Linked DNA regions of Lonchura striata. Each later gene encodes a partner of the first gene's protein in a complex. Links are inferred from orthologs where the notes say so. Each region holds a gene or a part of one and is shown on either strand. Other genes may lie near its edges.

Region 1 (7,916 bases):
TTAGGCATTCCCACTCTGCTTACTTTGGGAGTTCAATCAAATGAATGCTATCACTATCTAACATCATTAATCAGCCATTTTAAGCAGTAGTGGGGGCTTAAAGTAGGATGAGTGAGTGAGTGAATTTCTAGTTAGCACATGCTTCTCTGCATATTAATTTTTAAGTCTTGAATAGAATCATAAATCCTCATATCCTGAGTTGGAAGGGATCCACAGGGACCAGCAAAGTCCAACTCCCAAAGTCAGAGGAGAGGGCAGCCACTCCTTGCCCTCGTTCGGTTTCAAATCAATCTTTGCCATAATTCCACATGAGCTCTGCTCAGTGATTCCTTTTCTGGAATATTTCCCCCTTATTTCAGGCTTTAAGCCACATCTATAGGGAACAGAATTTCAACTTCCATAAGGCACCCTCCTTGGTGTAAAGACCGAAGGAATTTCTTTTTCCTGTGTATATGGAGCCTGCAAAAGAACCATGGGAGCTCTAAGCCAAGGAAAAGAAAAAAAAGATAAAAGGATGCTGTGATAAGTTATATGTATGTATGTGGCCACTTTATTAGAATGCCTCTAAAATATATATATATATATATATATATATATATATATATATACACACACACACATACATACATACATGTATATCTATATATACATCCATGGCTATTGGTGCAGGCCCAGTCATGAACACATAGCATCGAATGACATTGTGAGGTGGCTAAAAGCAGCAACTTCCCTCAAAAACAAACAAAGTGACTCACTTTCACATGCCTCTGGTAAAGCAGAGGGATGCTGCTACATGGCAGAGAAACCCTGTGGATCCTGGGGACAGCTGCCTTGCCAGTCCCAGGGGAACTGCGAGGTCCCATGGCAGGACCTGCCTGCTCTCGAGTGGCTCCTCACCTGTTCCTGTGTGCAGGGAACCATTGCAGGAAACCTGTGCACAGAGCTGGGTGTCCTCCTGCAAACTGCTCCTGCAATCGAGTAAAAATAACAATCCACATAACCTAACATTCCTTTTATCCGCTGCTTCCCTGCCCAGACGCGAAGCCCATGTGGTGAGAGAGCAATTGTAGGGCAGAATAATCCATTAGGAGCATCTGGATGCATACCCTGCAGCCACAATTTGTCTTGGTGTTCTTACTTTCTTCTCCTTAATTGCATTTCTTGCCTGCTGCTGTGTGAGCAGAATTTCAGTGGAATCACTTCACTAGGACATATCACTTGGAGTTGCTTCAGAGATGATTTAATCTTTGTACAATGCTTTGAACTTGTAAGTAATATTATTGCTATGTACCGTGCTCTCTCCTGGAGGATACCCCTACTACTGTGAATTTTCATGGAATTACAGCTAGAATTGCCTGGCAGACTGGTTTCTCCCATCTTTTTTTGCATGCCAGCCAGTCAGGAGAACAGCGATGTCACTATCTGGGATAACATCCCAAAGTAAACACCTGCACAAAGGGCTCTGAGTAATGTTGTAGTAATTCCTGATCACAGAAGTGCCTCCAGGGAAACATGAGATGGATTCCCTCTTTAAACCACATAAAATAATAGCAGGGTTTTGTTGCTGCTCTAGTCAAGCCAACACACATTCCCTTCCCTCAGAAAGTATGAGTGCAGCAAATTGCCCCAAATGGGTCTGGTTTTGTGCAGACAACAATGCAAGTCATAAAATCAATAATATCCCAAAACAATTGCCCAGAGCTGAACAATGGGATACACTGGGTGAAAGCTAAGCAAAAAGAATGCTCCCTTAAGGAAAGACATCACAAATCACAGAAGACAAGATGCAGCAAGGAAGAGTGACAGCCAGAAAAGCCAAAATTTTGATTTGTGGCAAAACAGACTCATAGGAAGAAAAAAAAGAAAAATAACAAAAAAAATAAACTTTCTACTGGAAAAAAAAAAAAAAAACCAAACAAACGAAACACCTAAAAAGCAAAACTAAACTAAACAAAATGAAAACAATGCATCACTGTACGCTGCAGCATTTGTCGTTTCCCAGATCCCAGGAGCTCCATTCCCTCCTGCTTCCTAAACTAATCCTGAGTGACAGCGTGTGGCTCTACCGCTTTTAAAGCATAAAGCCAAAGGTGCTCCTTCAGGAAGAGCAGCAAAGCCGGGAGGCAGCAGCTCAGTCCGTGCCGTTCCCGGAGCTCAAGCCGGAATTCAGCGGTGTGGCTCCCCATCTGTTGGCAGAAGCAAGTAGTAACGCCGGAGCTGCTCAGGAAAAAGAGACTTGGATCCAGATGGAGTCAAGGGCCCCATTCTGTGTCAGTCAGCCCCTGAATTCACAACTTGGGGAAAAGAGCTGTTCTCCACATGGGAAACATCCCTGCCATGCTTGGAGGAGAGGTTTTACAGAAACATGGACTTGTATAAAATCCATGAATTTGATGGAGCGCAGCCTGAAAGAGCAATGCGCAGGAAATATTTTTTGAATAGCTGGAGTAGGAAAAATTTCACACCTCCACGTCCTCGCCATGAAATTTGCCTTAGGATTTCTGTACGTCTCTAAGCACGAGAGGATCCCTTAACCAGGGAATAATGAGGCACTGCTCTATCTTTGTGGAATTCTCTGCTGGGCTGCACTAACTCCAACTGTGGTGATTAACAATTCAGTTGGAATGGAGCCTGATTTAAAGCTGAGCTCTCTCCAGCAAGTGCCAAACTTGCGGCAGGAAAGTACCTGGGCAGAGAAATGCTCCCTGGAGAAACCTGTACGCAAACACACGAGTCTCCTGGTAATGTTCCTGTTCTTAGGAGAATTTCAAAGGTTCTGGCACAACATGCACCCACCCCTTTAATTGATTCAGTGAACAGTGTTCCATCTGAAATCACATTGCTGCATGAGGAGGCACGAAGGCACAGGTATCCCTCTGCCAAGGGCTATCTCTGGACCTGTGGCTGCTATTGATTTGTTGGTTCCTTCTCTCCTAGATATCGATGTTAGGAAACTGAAACTCCCAAAAGATCTGGGCTCAGCCTTCTTGACACTGAAACAGGCCTTTAGCCTAGGGAGATCTCTATCAATTTTGTCTGAAAGTTTTTCACTTAAATGGGGGAGGAAATAAGGAAAAAGAAGAAACGCTCCACGTTTTGACATAGAAAGGCACAATTCTTTCAGCATGAAGAATTGCCACCATTTACTTCCTGCCTACAAACCGTACAAGTTGCAGCATCTGCCCTTTCCTCAAATTAATAATTTTCAAAATTACCATCTAAATTACTTTTGATTCCAGATTAGCTGAAAGGTATAGAGAATTAAACTCTTTCCCCCCCGTTTGGATTAATTGATAGAGAAAACCATGGAAAGATGAACAGGGAGAGGATTGCTTAGGAAGACTATCTGCATTATTTCCCAGTTTCTTCATATTAAGAGAATGAATCAAATAAGAATGTGAATAAATAGGTGTGTTCAGAGCTGCTTAAATACAGAATTACTGATATGTACAACAGTGGTGTCCCAAACCCTGACAAAATAAGACAAACAGGAATAGAGGCTGGGAAGGAGAGGAGGAGCAGTGGGACAGAAAGGAGTGTATTTTTTACTAGGGCATGTTGCTGTTTTGGAGAGAAGGAGCACGAGTGAAAGATGAGACTGAGGAATAAAGGAGAGGATGAAGGAGAAAAGTCCTGAAGCAGAACTGGAAATACCTGCTGGAAGTGACCAAGAGCAGGATCTGAGAGGGGCAGCGGCGGATGCTCCTCCTCATGGCCCCAGTGCAGGGAACAGCTGCTGTTTCCCTCAGACACGGATCTGTAGGACGTAAGTGTAAAACTAATATTTGGGCTGGGCCATTAGTCACTGTTAAGGGGCCCTTTTATCTCTAGTAATCTCCTTCCTGACAGTGTGTCCCACACACCAGGCTTTGCATGCAGCAACCTTGTGAATACTGAACTCAAAGCCAAATGTTCAGCCCAGGACAGGAATGAATGTCCTGCCCAGAGCAGGAATTGTCAAAAGCACAAGGAACCTCTGCTACTTTGTTCAGCCAAAATGTTCCTGATTTTAATTAACTTTGGTTTTATTCTGGTGTGAGGAATTTGAGGCAGGCAGAAAAACAGAAAGGTGCTGAAAGACATAGCTCTGGAACTCAGCATCACATCTTTGGTCCAGGAAAACCAAGTGTGTTGGAACAAGAGTTTTCTGGCACAGGAAAATTGAATATTGTTGCTGTTGAAAAAGCAACCAAGTAATCTCTACAATACCTGCCAGTCCAAAACAAAGGTCGCTTTTAGTACAGTGCAGCAGCCCATCATCACTTTAAGAGACAGAATTTTCCAGATTTTTATACTTAATCAAATCAGCAACTGTATCTGCATTCCACTTGCCCTAAATTGCATCACTTGTCAACAAATGTGCATATGGCAGAACAGCACTACTGTCATCCCTAAATATATATATAGAAATATATATAAAGATAAATAACTTTATCTGTTAATTAATCTGCTTATTAATAAGCAAAACCATCGGTTAAGAATATCACTCTCGTGCATCCTCCAAGTCTCCAGTCTTTCCTCAAAAGGATTTGGAAACCAGGAGTCAGTTTGGAGCTTTTAAAAGGCCAAAAGTTTAAAATGCTATACCCTTCCAAAGCTCTCAAAATAAGCGATAAAGCAATCCTGTAATTTAGAACAACGCCAGGCGGGAGGTCCCAGCTATCACCAGAGCTTCACCAGAGCAGGGTTCCTCCAGGATCCGCAGCTCGGCACGTCCCGCGGGTGCCAGAACGGCCTCCGGCCCCCACGGCAGCATCTCCCGCGGGTGCCAAGAGCGGCGGGAGCGGCGGCCGGGCCGGGCCGGGCCGGGCCGGGGGCCGGGCGGGGGGCCGGGCCGGGCGGGGGGCCGGCCGTGGCGGCCCCTCCCCTGCTGCCCTACTCCCTTGCTGCCTTGCGGCCCCTCGCCTGCTCCGGAGAACCGGGGGAACCCGTCCGGCCGGTCTGGCGGCGGCTCGCAGGCAGCCGGGGCGGGCGCGGGGCTCCGGAGGCGCTGAGCGAGCCAGCGGGAACCCGCGGGCACAGGTGAGGCCGGGGGCTCCTGCGGGGCAGGGGCTGCCCGTAGCCGCGGGGCGGTGGCACGATGTGTCCATCGCCACCGGGGCCGGCCGGCGCCACCTCCGCCGGTGCCGCGCTCGGTGCGGGCCGGGGCTCAGGGCCGGCTCTGTCCCGGCCCGCCCCGCCGCACAGGTGCGGCCGGAGCTGACCTCGGGCGCACCCGGAACGCCTTCCCTTCTTTTCTCTTCCCTTCCCAGCATATCGCCGGCTCGGAGCGGGAGCCCCGACGCGTTGTTTCGGAGGGTTTAGAGCCCGGCGGGACCCCGCGGGAATCGGCGTCCCCCTCGCTCCCACCCGCGGGATATGCGGCCGCTGATGGTCGAACTTAGCGCAGAGTCTCTCCGCTCTGAAGTTTAAAGAAAGAGCAGGAGGTTGCTGGAAGGCGAGGTAAGGCAGCTCGGCTATCTCCTGTCCCCCCGAGCCCCCCGGGCACTGACTCGTGGCCCCGGGCTGCTTGCCCAACTCCCGGCTTTCCCCCGCCGCCCATGCCTATGCACGATGAGAACAGCCTTCAGGGCTGCGAGTGATTACTCATTGGTCGGTGTTTATGCAGTCATCAGAGCAGCAATAGCTTTCTGCATTAAGGAACAGTAACTCTGCAGTAGAATATACTGGGCAAGTTACTTGTGCGGTCAGTGACTTGCTTGGAAAACAAAACAAAATTGGTGTCTCGGTGCTGCTAGCTCGTGCTTATAGCTTAAATAGCATCCCGTCCTTGGAGGTCGGATGCAGCTGTGCTGAATGGAGCAGCTAATGGAGCATTGCACTGCTGGCTCGGGTGTCAGCAGGAGCGGTTTGAAACCGAAGAGGCCAAACAGCTCTGGCAGGGACCAGTGCTGGCAATGAGTAACAGCCGGGGTGTTTGGCTGTGGAGAGCCGGGACCGTAGGACTTGGGGTGGCAGCCTGGCCCTTGAGCAGTCCCCACCTGCGTGGCTGCTGCTGCTGGTGAGAGTCCCTGGATTAACATCCTGTTAGTGGCTGTGCTGGATGAGGCTTGCTCAGGTTTCTGTTTGGTCGTGGGGTTTCATTTGTCGTTGTCCTCAAAGCCTGGTTTAGAAGACGAGTAGTGTCTGGCTGTTTTTGATGTTTTCCTTGTCAGCTTTTGCACTGGTGGTCACCTTAGTCTGGTTGCTTTTGTACCTGTCCCAAGGCTCTGTTTGTCTCTGTGTTAATTTGTAGCTATCGTAGAGATTATTTTCAGTAACTTCTAAACTGTTCTCACTTAATTCTGCCATATAAGACAGCGTGTAAATGTTCTGGACCTTTGCTTTTGAGTTTGGCATAGTGAATTCCAAAAGCACTTGCAGTGGAGCCATTTTAAAATGAGCTGGGATTTATTTCTCCGCTCTCTTGTTGGTGTGGCTGTTGTTAGAGGGCCGAGAGCACGAAGTGCTGCCTGCTCTTCAATGTGGAAAGGCGGTTGGTTGTTGTTTCAGATGTTTCAGATGCGAGGGGTTCTGCTGTTCTTCCTGCCGAGGGCTTTTCCAGTTCTCTTTTAAAGGAGATGCTTTGTGCAGCTGTAATTGAATGCAGGACGTGTGCCAGGAGCTTCTGCAACCCAACCCTGGCTCTGTCAGTGACTTACCCAATGGCCTTGGGCAAATCACTTAACCTCTCTGTCTCTCTGCTTGTCGGGGTGAAGGGCACGATTCTCGTTCCAGACCGATTCTTTGAGATTCTCTGAGCCTTCCTTGGCAGGTGCCGGGCTCTGTGGTAGCACTGCTTTTTGGCAAGCTTACAGAATCCCTCTGGAACGTGTGCTGGGTTTTCCCCATGTGTTCTGATATACACTTGCAATATGATTTTCATTTGACAATTGATGGTGATAGGAAAGATGCACGAATGACTGTACTTTGTACAGCTACAGGGTGTAGCTGTTAATATCTTTGAAAGGTCTCTACCAGCCTCAAGCCATGAGTTTGTCACAGAGCCCAGACACCTTAGGGTAATAGGACAAATGGCTCCACACAAAGCATAAGAAATTTTGCAAGGCAAATTAATTTCACAATTTTTCTAAAGAATAGTTTTTTGTTATTGTGTGCACACAAGGTGGAATCAGCCAATAAACCATTTTCTACATGGTTTCATTGCAGATGGAGCCTGATTTGAAGCTGAAGGCAGCGGATTCTCTGTGAGTGGCCAGTGGCAGCATTTGTGATGCAGTCTGAGCTTCAGTCACACACTCCATTGGATAAAGGTCAGTTTAGGAAAATGGCTTCAGTGTCTATTGTAGATGCTACCAGAAGAGGTGTATTAATGGAATCTCCAGTCTTGGTAGCAGGAAGTAACCTTTATTTAGCCAGTTAAAATTACTTGCTGGTTTTGATGGTGACGGTGACTGCTAGGAAAAAAACTCTCTGTGTAGTTCCAAAAATCTTCTACTCCAAATAATGCAGTTTAAGCATGCACAACAAGAATTCTTTTTTCCTCTATTAACCTCAATATGAGCTGTTGTATAACATGAACCTCGAGAGCAAGGTAACACCCTCTAAAAGGCAAGCTGAAACCCCTTCAGAGTGTGCTGGAACCTGCAGCTTGAGCAAAGGTTACCCGCCCTCTTATCTTCTGCAAAGATAGCTTGCCTTGCCTTGGACTTTAAATGACAGAACTCTGCAGATCTGTTAATGAGAAATCCTAGAGCAGATAATGGGGAAAATGATGATTTTTGTTTCTGCAATGGCCCATCTTCAAGCATTTTTGCATAACCTCAGGCAGCTGGCCTGTACACTGTGGGTCTTTTTCTTGGATTTCTTGATTTTCTGTTCAGTTCTCGGTGTCCAGTTAATCTCTTCCTTGTGTCAAATCCTGTAGGCTCATCAGGAAAAATTAGGTACATTGGAAAGTCCTTCATACTTATTTT
Region 2 (7,751 bases), on another chromosome or scaffold:
CACCCAAATGAACTATTTTAACAACAGACTCAAGATAAATGACTGATTATACCCTTTTGAAGCCAGAGAAAATTTAACAAAAACCCGACAGATCTAGTCACCTAAACTGTTGGAAATCTTCCACTTGAATTCAAGACATCTTGTAAAGGAAATCAATGGAAGAGGTACATTTTGCTGCTCAGTCCTTGCACCTGTAGAAGAACAGCACAGTCCATAGAGATACTAATGGCTACCACACCTTATTTCAGGAAAGAGTGACTTGAACATAAATAGGTATTCAGGGTCCCAAATTATACATCCTATTCAATTCCAATACACTAAGTTTACAGATTTGAGAGGTATGCTATTGCCTTGGAGGCAGGTGTAAATAACCACCTGTGCTTCCTCCCCCAATTACATTTCTAAAAAAGCTTAGTCATTGCATGTAGCTTCTGGATGTCTTCTCTCCCACAGCTAAACTTACAGCTGTTTGTGAATAACTTTTGGAGCTTATAACAAAAGGTTATAACAAAAGCCAGCATTCTAAGCAGGGATGTATGTCATCTAAGCATATATGTTATAGCAGTGTCTTAAACTGCATCCCTCAGCAGTGTTTAGAGCCCAGATGTTGGTCCTAATTGGTAAAATGCTTTATATGTGTTTTGTGGCTGCACCTCTTTTGATTTAAATTTGCTTTTTTTTTTTTTTTTAATTCAGCTGCCTTTAGGATGATAATCTCACTTGTAGAATGCCGCTGGATGAGCACTTCATAAAACATGTAAGAGGATCAGGCAACAGAATACAAGTTTCCCCCTTCTGACTTACCACAGACTCCAAAAGTCCCTTCTGTCCTCACAAAAGCCGAGAATTTTTTGATAATTTCAAACGGTGAAAGAGTAATTCCATATAGTAAAACAAATTAAATTCTTTTCAGTCTTGAGTATCTTGAGATTAGAGAGGACTGAAGATACTGATCTGAAGATTAGAGAGGACCTGCCAGCTGTCTCCACTACAAATGGTTAGTGCTGCTGTACATGCACAGCCTGACTGTGTAGTGGAGCATTGGTAATGCTCCCAGCTCACCTACGACTTTTATACCAAATGTTAGGTGGGAACAGCTGATTTTTGGGTTCTACTGGAACTTACCAGGAGTACCTGACTGAGCTGCTTAAGCAACAACAGTATATAAAAATCCTTTATAAGCACACAGCAGCAATATAGGCACAAAATCATGTATGTTTATGGACTCATGAAACTGATGCACTTCTTATTCACACAGATCAACGCAGATTAAGTTATAATGGAAAAAAGATACATTTGTCCAATTACAATTATCTAAAACTTCATACTGCTTTACTATAGAAATGACTATTTCAAATGCAGTTGTCAACAAAAATCAGAGTTAGCATGGATATTTTTATACTTCTCTCCCCAGAGTCTTGAAAACCCTTAAATATGCTATAACATGACAATTTAAAAACTTATGTGCCCATGACAAGTAGGCCATGTTTTCTGAAGCACCTGTGCCAATTTTCAGATGTTCAGCATAACCTGAACACTTGTTATAAGAAACAACTATTTTCTAAAAAATAGGCTTACATACAAATTAGGATGCTGTAAAATACACTTCAGCTTTTGGGGTTTTCCCTTCTGCTTTTCTCCCTAACTGTAGATCCTAACATAAAAGGGGGTAAAATTGGTTTCATTATAACCTTATTTGCACTTTAAGAGAAATATGGAAACACCATCCATTCCCTCCCTCATGATTTCTTTAGCTAACTGGGCTTCAGTGACAACTTGCCAGCCAAGCTACTGTCTTAAACACTGCTTATTTGAAAGTGGCAGCTTGGTCTAGTAACTAGAGTGATTTAATGCACAAAAATTCATACTCTCCAATTAAAAAACCACGAAGAACAACCACACACCTTCTTCCCTACAATCAATCTCAGTCATATTAGCTCACCAAAACTAATAATAGCTGTCAATTGCTTCTCAAGGCTGTCCACCCCTAAGCCTTGTGAGTTATTTCCTTTCAACACAAACCAGTTCTGTTATCAGCTGGATCTATCTGTGATATACAGTTCAGTTTTCAGCTAAGGCTCAGCAACTTTTCACAACAGTAGCATGGCTGGTTATCAAATGTAAATCAGATAAACTCAGACTCGAGTTTGTGTTATTTAGAAAAAGCCATACTCTTCAATCCTGGTCTCCCATACAGCACCAGCAACATTAAATCATCGGTGCAGGTAAGAATAACAGCAACAGATTCACCACAGAGCTTTGTCCTGAAAATACAATTACTTTGGAGCATTTGAAGACAAATAATAGACAACCACAGACTATCCCACGGATGATGCGCTTACTATCGGTATTGCTGAGGAAAAAAACGTGCACTGAGCTGTGTCGATGGAATGCAGGCAGTAACTTCTCTGGAAGTTCCCTCGGGAGCACTGACAGAACTCACGGAAGAGCTATGCGGAGATGGCTGTCAGCTCGGTGCCTGCCCAGGGTAATTAATGGGCGCGCTGCTGACGAGCACAGACCTTGGGCGGACCGGAGCCGCCCGAGGGCCGCGTCCGCTCCGCACAGAACCCGCCCGGGCCCCGCCGCAGGCCGGGAGGGGACGGAGGCGACCGCACCTCCCAGAGCCGCAGGCGGCCTCCCGGCAGGCGAGCCCCGCTATCCCAAAGCCCCGGCCCGGCACACCGCCCCGCGCACCTCGTACTCGCGGATGTTGTTCGAAGTGACGAAGATGCCGATGCCGATGGGGATGAAGATGAGGCCGATGATGAAGAAGGCCGGCAGCACCGTGCCCGCTGTCAGGATGGGCTGCCAAGCCGGCAGCCGCTGCTGCTTGAAAGCGGTATTGTCAGGCTTGCGGGTCTTCACGGCGCCGCCGCCGCCCACCGCGCCGCCGCCCGGCACGCCGACGCCGCCCGAGGGGTGCCCGTCCGCCTCCTCCTTGGCGCTGTAGTTCACCGCCATGGCGCCGCCGCCGCCGCCGCCGACACGTGACCGGGGGCACCGCGCCTGCGCACTCGGCCGCGGCAGCCGCGGGACGGGGCACGGCGGCGCGCGGGCGGTGACGCGCCACGGCCGCGCGCTTGCGCAGATGATGGCGGCTGGGGGTCATGGAGGCTCGGAGTGGTCGAGATGGGAAGAGACCCGCTAGATCATCCGGTCCGGTCATCCGCCCGGCACTGCCACTGTGACCCCTAAACCGCTAAGCCACGTCACCCAGTGCCAGATCCAGTCACCTCTTGAACACGTCCAGGGATGGTGACTACCACCTTCCTGGGCAACCTGTTCCAATGACCACCGTAATAGTGAATATTTTTTTTTAATATCTGATTTGCATCTCCCCTGTTTCAGCTAAGGACATTTCCTGTTGTCCTCACTGCAGGCACGGCAGACCAGACCAGTCCCACCTCAACCCAACCTTTCCTCAGGGAGTTGTAGAGAGAATAATGTCCTCCCTCAAACCCTCCTTTTCTTCAGGCTGAACACCCAGCCTCCTCAGCTGCTCCTCACAGGACGTGTTCTATGGGCTCCTCACAGAACGTGTTCTATGTGCTGGCCAGGCAGGCTCTGCTCCGTGAGGATGAGGATTCCAGACTTTGGGCAGGGGTCCTGGCACCTCGTGCCCAAGGTTGGGGTAAGACCTGGGACCGCAGCCTTGGCATCCCCCACTCAGTGCTCCAGGAGCACTGCCTTTCATCCTCCCTGTTGGCATGTGCTGACCCAAGGCAGTGTCCTTTGGGTCAAAAACTGAGAAGTCAGCTTCGGCTTCCTAGCCTCATAAATAGGATTAGTGCCACTGTAGAGATGTAATAATGCATGAGAATTTTGAGAGCTGCTGTCAATGGAGCTGTGTGTGCCGACCACCACTTTTGGGAGTGGTTCTGCTCTGTCCTCCTGCTCTGCTGTCGGTGTGAGTGAATCAGTGCAGTGAATACAGAACCACAGAGCAGGTAGGGCTGGAAGGGACCACAGAGAGTCATCCGGTCCAACTCCCCTGCTCAGAGTCATCCCAGAGCACATGGCACAGGACTGCATCCAGATGTTTTTTGAATATCTCCAGTCAGGGAGACTGCAGCCTCTCTGAGAAATCTCTTCTAGTGCTCAGTCACCCACACACTGAGGAAGTTCTTCCTCGTATTCTGGTGGAACTTTCTATGCATCAGTTTCTGCCTGGTGCCTCTTGTTCTGTTCATTCGCACCACTGAGAAGAGTCTGGCTCACTCTGACTCGACACCCACCCTTTAGATACTTATACATATGGATGTTGTTGTTTCCCCTTGTGAGCTAATCTGACTGTGCTAAACAGAATCACAGAATCAATCAGGCTGGGAAAGACGTCTGAGGTCATTGAGCCCACCCTTTGACTGAACACCACTGTGCCAACTACACCATGACACTTGCTACCATTTACAGTCTGTCCTTTAACACCTCCAGGAACAGGGATTCCACCACCCCTCCAGGGCCGTCTGTTTCAGTGGTTAAAACCCTTTCATGGAGAAGCAGTCACCTTGTGGAACGCAATGTGTGAGTATGTACTTGCATCCCAGAAGACCTGCTTTAGCAGGCATTGCTCAAGCTAATGCAACCTTGGAATTTCATGTTTCTCACTTCACTGGCACTTCTGCATTAAAGTCTGTTTTGTGAGGACTTCCTATGCAGTCACTCTAGAGTGCTGCCAAATCCACATTCAGCAAATATTTATGTATTTACTTGATTTCAAGGAAAAAAGTAAGTAGAACTATTTAATTAAATAAGTTTATAATGTAGTCCAATCTGAAGACTTTTTAGCTGGCTATGGAACAGTTGATGTAAAATAAATGCCTTTTAGTTCTCTGGAGCAGCGAGAGCATCAGCCAAGACCACTGGGGGGAGCACCTGACTTGTGCAAATGTATTTCACTATAGAGGCACAAAAGGCCTCCTTGCCATAGTGTAGGGAATTTGGGTATATAGATAAATATCGAAAAGATAAGTATTAATTTGGTGCCTAAATAATTATATAGACTACAAAAGTTAATTATATTCCTTGTGGAATCTATGCTAAAACTGTATTTCATTCCAAATTAATCTTTTCCACTGTCTTGTGGACCCAAACTTTTGCTGCCATTCCCCCTGGATAAGCCCATTGTCTCTAGTACCATGCTTTCCTTATTATCTTCTGTTTGCAATTATTACCTTCAGCTATAGTAATTTTTATTCCCACAGTGTCACAGAGGATCCAGAGAGATGCAACCTGGGATCTCAAGGGAACAAGAAAGCTTGTAAACCTGTGGTGAGAGATGGCAAGAAATTTCCCTAGCAGAAGGAAAATCAAGGGGCGATGTTGGGAAGCTGGGACCTGATGCTCTCAGGTGCAAGAGGACTGGCAAGAAAGGGTGTGTTAAATTTGTCTAATTATGTTTCACAACAAGACAAGAAGAAAACTCACAGGCTGTAGCATTTATCTCTAGAAATCTAAGTATTTGAGATTTTTTTTTCATGGATTGAAACTCTGTATTTTATCACTATAATTAAACTACACAGGTCTTTCAGTCCTCTTTATATGGTAAGAGATCTCTAAGGGAAAAGTAGATCTTTCACTGGTTTTCTATTGCTTAAAAGCTTCTGATATCTATAGCATATATATATATATATATATATATATATAGCATCTATATTTCACATTGTCTTAGTGTGTAAGCTCTTCCCAATTACCTCCATTAAAATTACAGTAGTTGTAGAAATTAATCACATCTTTAGTCTATATTAATAGATTTCTTCCTGAGTCTCCCCAGAATACAGACTAATTATGTGGCTAATGCTCTTTTTTTACATATTTATCTTAGATTCATATCCAAGTTAGGTAATGTAAAAAATTGACCAGGAACATAAATGCAAGATGAAATCACCAGTCTCCTACTCCAAAGTGTTGTAGTTCATCAAAAATATTTTAAAATCCAAATTATTTCGATACACCATGATTGTATGTATGCTTTAAACAAAGCTTTATTTTGGGAATCTTAAAAGCTTAATATAAGTGAAAAACCATAAATGTTTATGTATTTGTTTATGAATAATAAACTTACACTCATCATTAATTGGCTTTATATTAAAATTTAGACAAGGAAAAATATTTTCTACTTTGACTGGCACCTTTTAAATCTAGACTCAATTTTGGAATACCATTTTACTTGTGTCCTACTCATATTTAAAAGCTGAAGTTTATTTCAGGCATGTCACCGTTACTTTCAAATAACCAGGAATTTCAGTGTGGCTGAGCTTAGTGTAGATCTTAACATGGATAGGTTTCAATTCCCAAGTAATGTTTTGAAAATAGAAGATCTGGGTCACTACAATGTTCATTCTGCTGTGCAGTAAACTGAAATGTGGCACACACTAAACTTTATTCACCTCATCTGTATTGTTCTCCAAAAGCTTGAATTTTTCTCAGCGTGCAGTAAAATATGATCTACAAACACAGCTATGTTATTGGCATATATTGTCTGTTGTACAAAAAAAAACCAAACCACTCCTTAAAAAACATGGTGACATGGTGTACCAGCTAAGTATAAGCTATACCAACAAAATTTCTCTTCCACCAGGATAAGCAGCACTTAATTTTGATTCGTCTCTATAGCTGTATTAGTAAACTCTTCACAATGGAGATCTACTCCACAAAAGTTCATACAGGTCCCAGAATATCCTGCTTCTCTAGAGTGTCAGCATTTGCTGCAGAGCTCACATGTAAAAGGAGAAACAGCTCCCGTGGCTCCCATGAAGACCAAATTGACTATGCAGCCATGTGATATTCCGACTTCAAAGATGCACCAACCTAACCATCCCAGTGGGATGCTGCATTAATGCAGTCTTTATGGCATCTCACAGCACATCTCCTGCAAACAACACTTTTCCTTTCCAAAAAAATAATTTATCCCAGTAGCTTCTGCAGTTAAAAATCTGCAGTATTTTAAGTATGTGCCAATGACTTAGAATAAAAATCATTGGTTATGAAAGGTAAAAGAAAAAAAGACCCTGCCTGGATTGCATGTAGCTTTATTTATCATGCATTCAAAAATCACCCTAAGTATAGCTGCCACAGAACTCTCAGGATGCTATTTGAGAAGCTACAGCCACCAGTGTAAAAGGGGCCCCTGAGCGCACGGCAGAGTGCCTGGTGTCTAGTCCAGGACCAAAGATTCTGACAGTACCAGTCAAACATCTCTGCCTGTGCTGTGAAAGCACAAGCTTAGAAACAATTAAGTCATGAAGGGCTTGGTGATTGATCCATCTCTGTATCTTAACTTCTGAGCCTACAAGAAAGATGGGGAGAGTGGCATGGGCATGTTGTGACAGGACAAGGAGGAATGGCTTCAAACTGAAAGGCAGTAGGTTTACATTAGATACTGGGAAGAAATTCTTCACTTTGAGGGTTGTGAGACACTGGAACAAAATACCCAGAGAAGCTGTTGAGCAGCTTTGCTGGAAGTGTTCAAGGCCAGGTTGGATGGAGCTTTGAGCAACTTGATCTAGTGGAAGGCATTCCTGCCCATGGCAGGGGGACTGGAACTACATGATCTTTAAGGGCCTTCCAACCCAAACCATTCTGTGATTCTATGAATCAGTTTCACCCTGTACTTCACTGTGACACTGTATTGAGACACCAGTCAGAAAAAGGAACTTCCTAATCCATATACTGTCCCCATAAACAAATATATAGGTGAGTGCTGCCAGCCTTAAGAAACTGGAGCTGAAATGCAAAAACCTACATTTACA

The links.
Region 2: the proteins of ATP8B1 (region 1) and TMEM30A are in contact, whole or in part, in a cryo-EM structure (PDB 7VGI), measured with the Homo sapiens proteins. The link is inferred for Lonchura striata from reciprocal best matches to the Homo sapiens genes ATP8B1 and TMEM30A. Residues at the interface, in NP_001361314.1 of Homo sapiens: Thr138, His359, Trp362, Glu363, Val366, Ser369, Ser370, Trp371, Tyr372, Leu373, Tyr374, Asp375, Gly376, Arg384, Ile388, Phe418, Asn420, Trp421, Asp422, Leu423, Tyr426, Lys430, Asp431, Thr432, Pro433, His939, Trp942, Arg946, Tyr968, Phe971; in NP_060717.1 of Homo sapiens: Lys24, Thr25, Arg26, Arg27, Pro28, Asn30, Phe33, Lys34, Gln35, Gln36, Arg37, Leu38, Pro39, Ala40, Trp41, Gln42, Pro43, Ile44, Leu45, Thr46, Ala47, Val50, Phe54, Ile57, Phe61, Ile64, Ile68, Ile75, Phe119, Tyr121.

What each region holds. Positions count from the first base shown.
Region 1 is NC_134642.1:511,141-519,056, forward strand, and holds the start of ATP8B1 (phospholipid-transporting ATPase IC), read left to right. Parts: upstream 1-4,903; 5' UTR 4,904-5,022; intron 5,023-5,252; 5' UTR 5,253-5,442; intron 5,443-7,149; 5' UTR 7,150-7,253; intron 7,254-7,542; exon of another isoform or gene 7,543-7,861; intron 7,862-7,916. UniProt on the Homo sapiens protein: Catalytic component of a P4-ATPase flippase complex which catalyzes the hydrolysis of ATP coupled to the transport of phospholipids, in particular phosphatidylcholines (PC), from the outer to the inner leaflet of the plasma membrane.
Region 2 is NC_134605.1:83,206,028-83,213,778, reverse strand, and holds the start of TMEM30A (cell cycle control protein 50A), read right to left. Parts: upstream 3,001-7,751; 5' UTR 2,965-3,000; coding exon 2,698-2,964; intron 1-2,697. UniProt on the Homo sapiens protein: Accessory component of a P4-ATPase flippase complex which catalyzes the hydrolysis of ATP coupled to the transport of aminophospholipids from the outer to the inner leaflet of various membranes and ensures the maintenance of asymmetric distribution of phospholipids.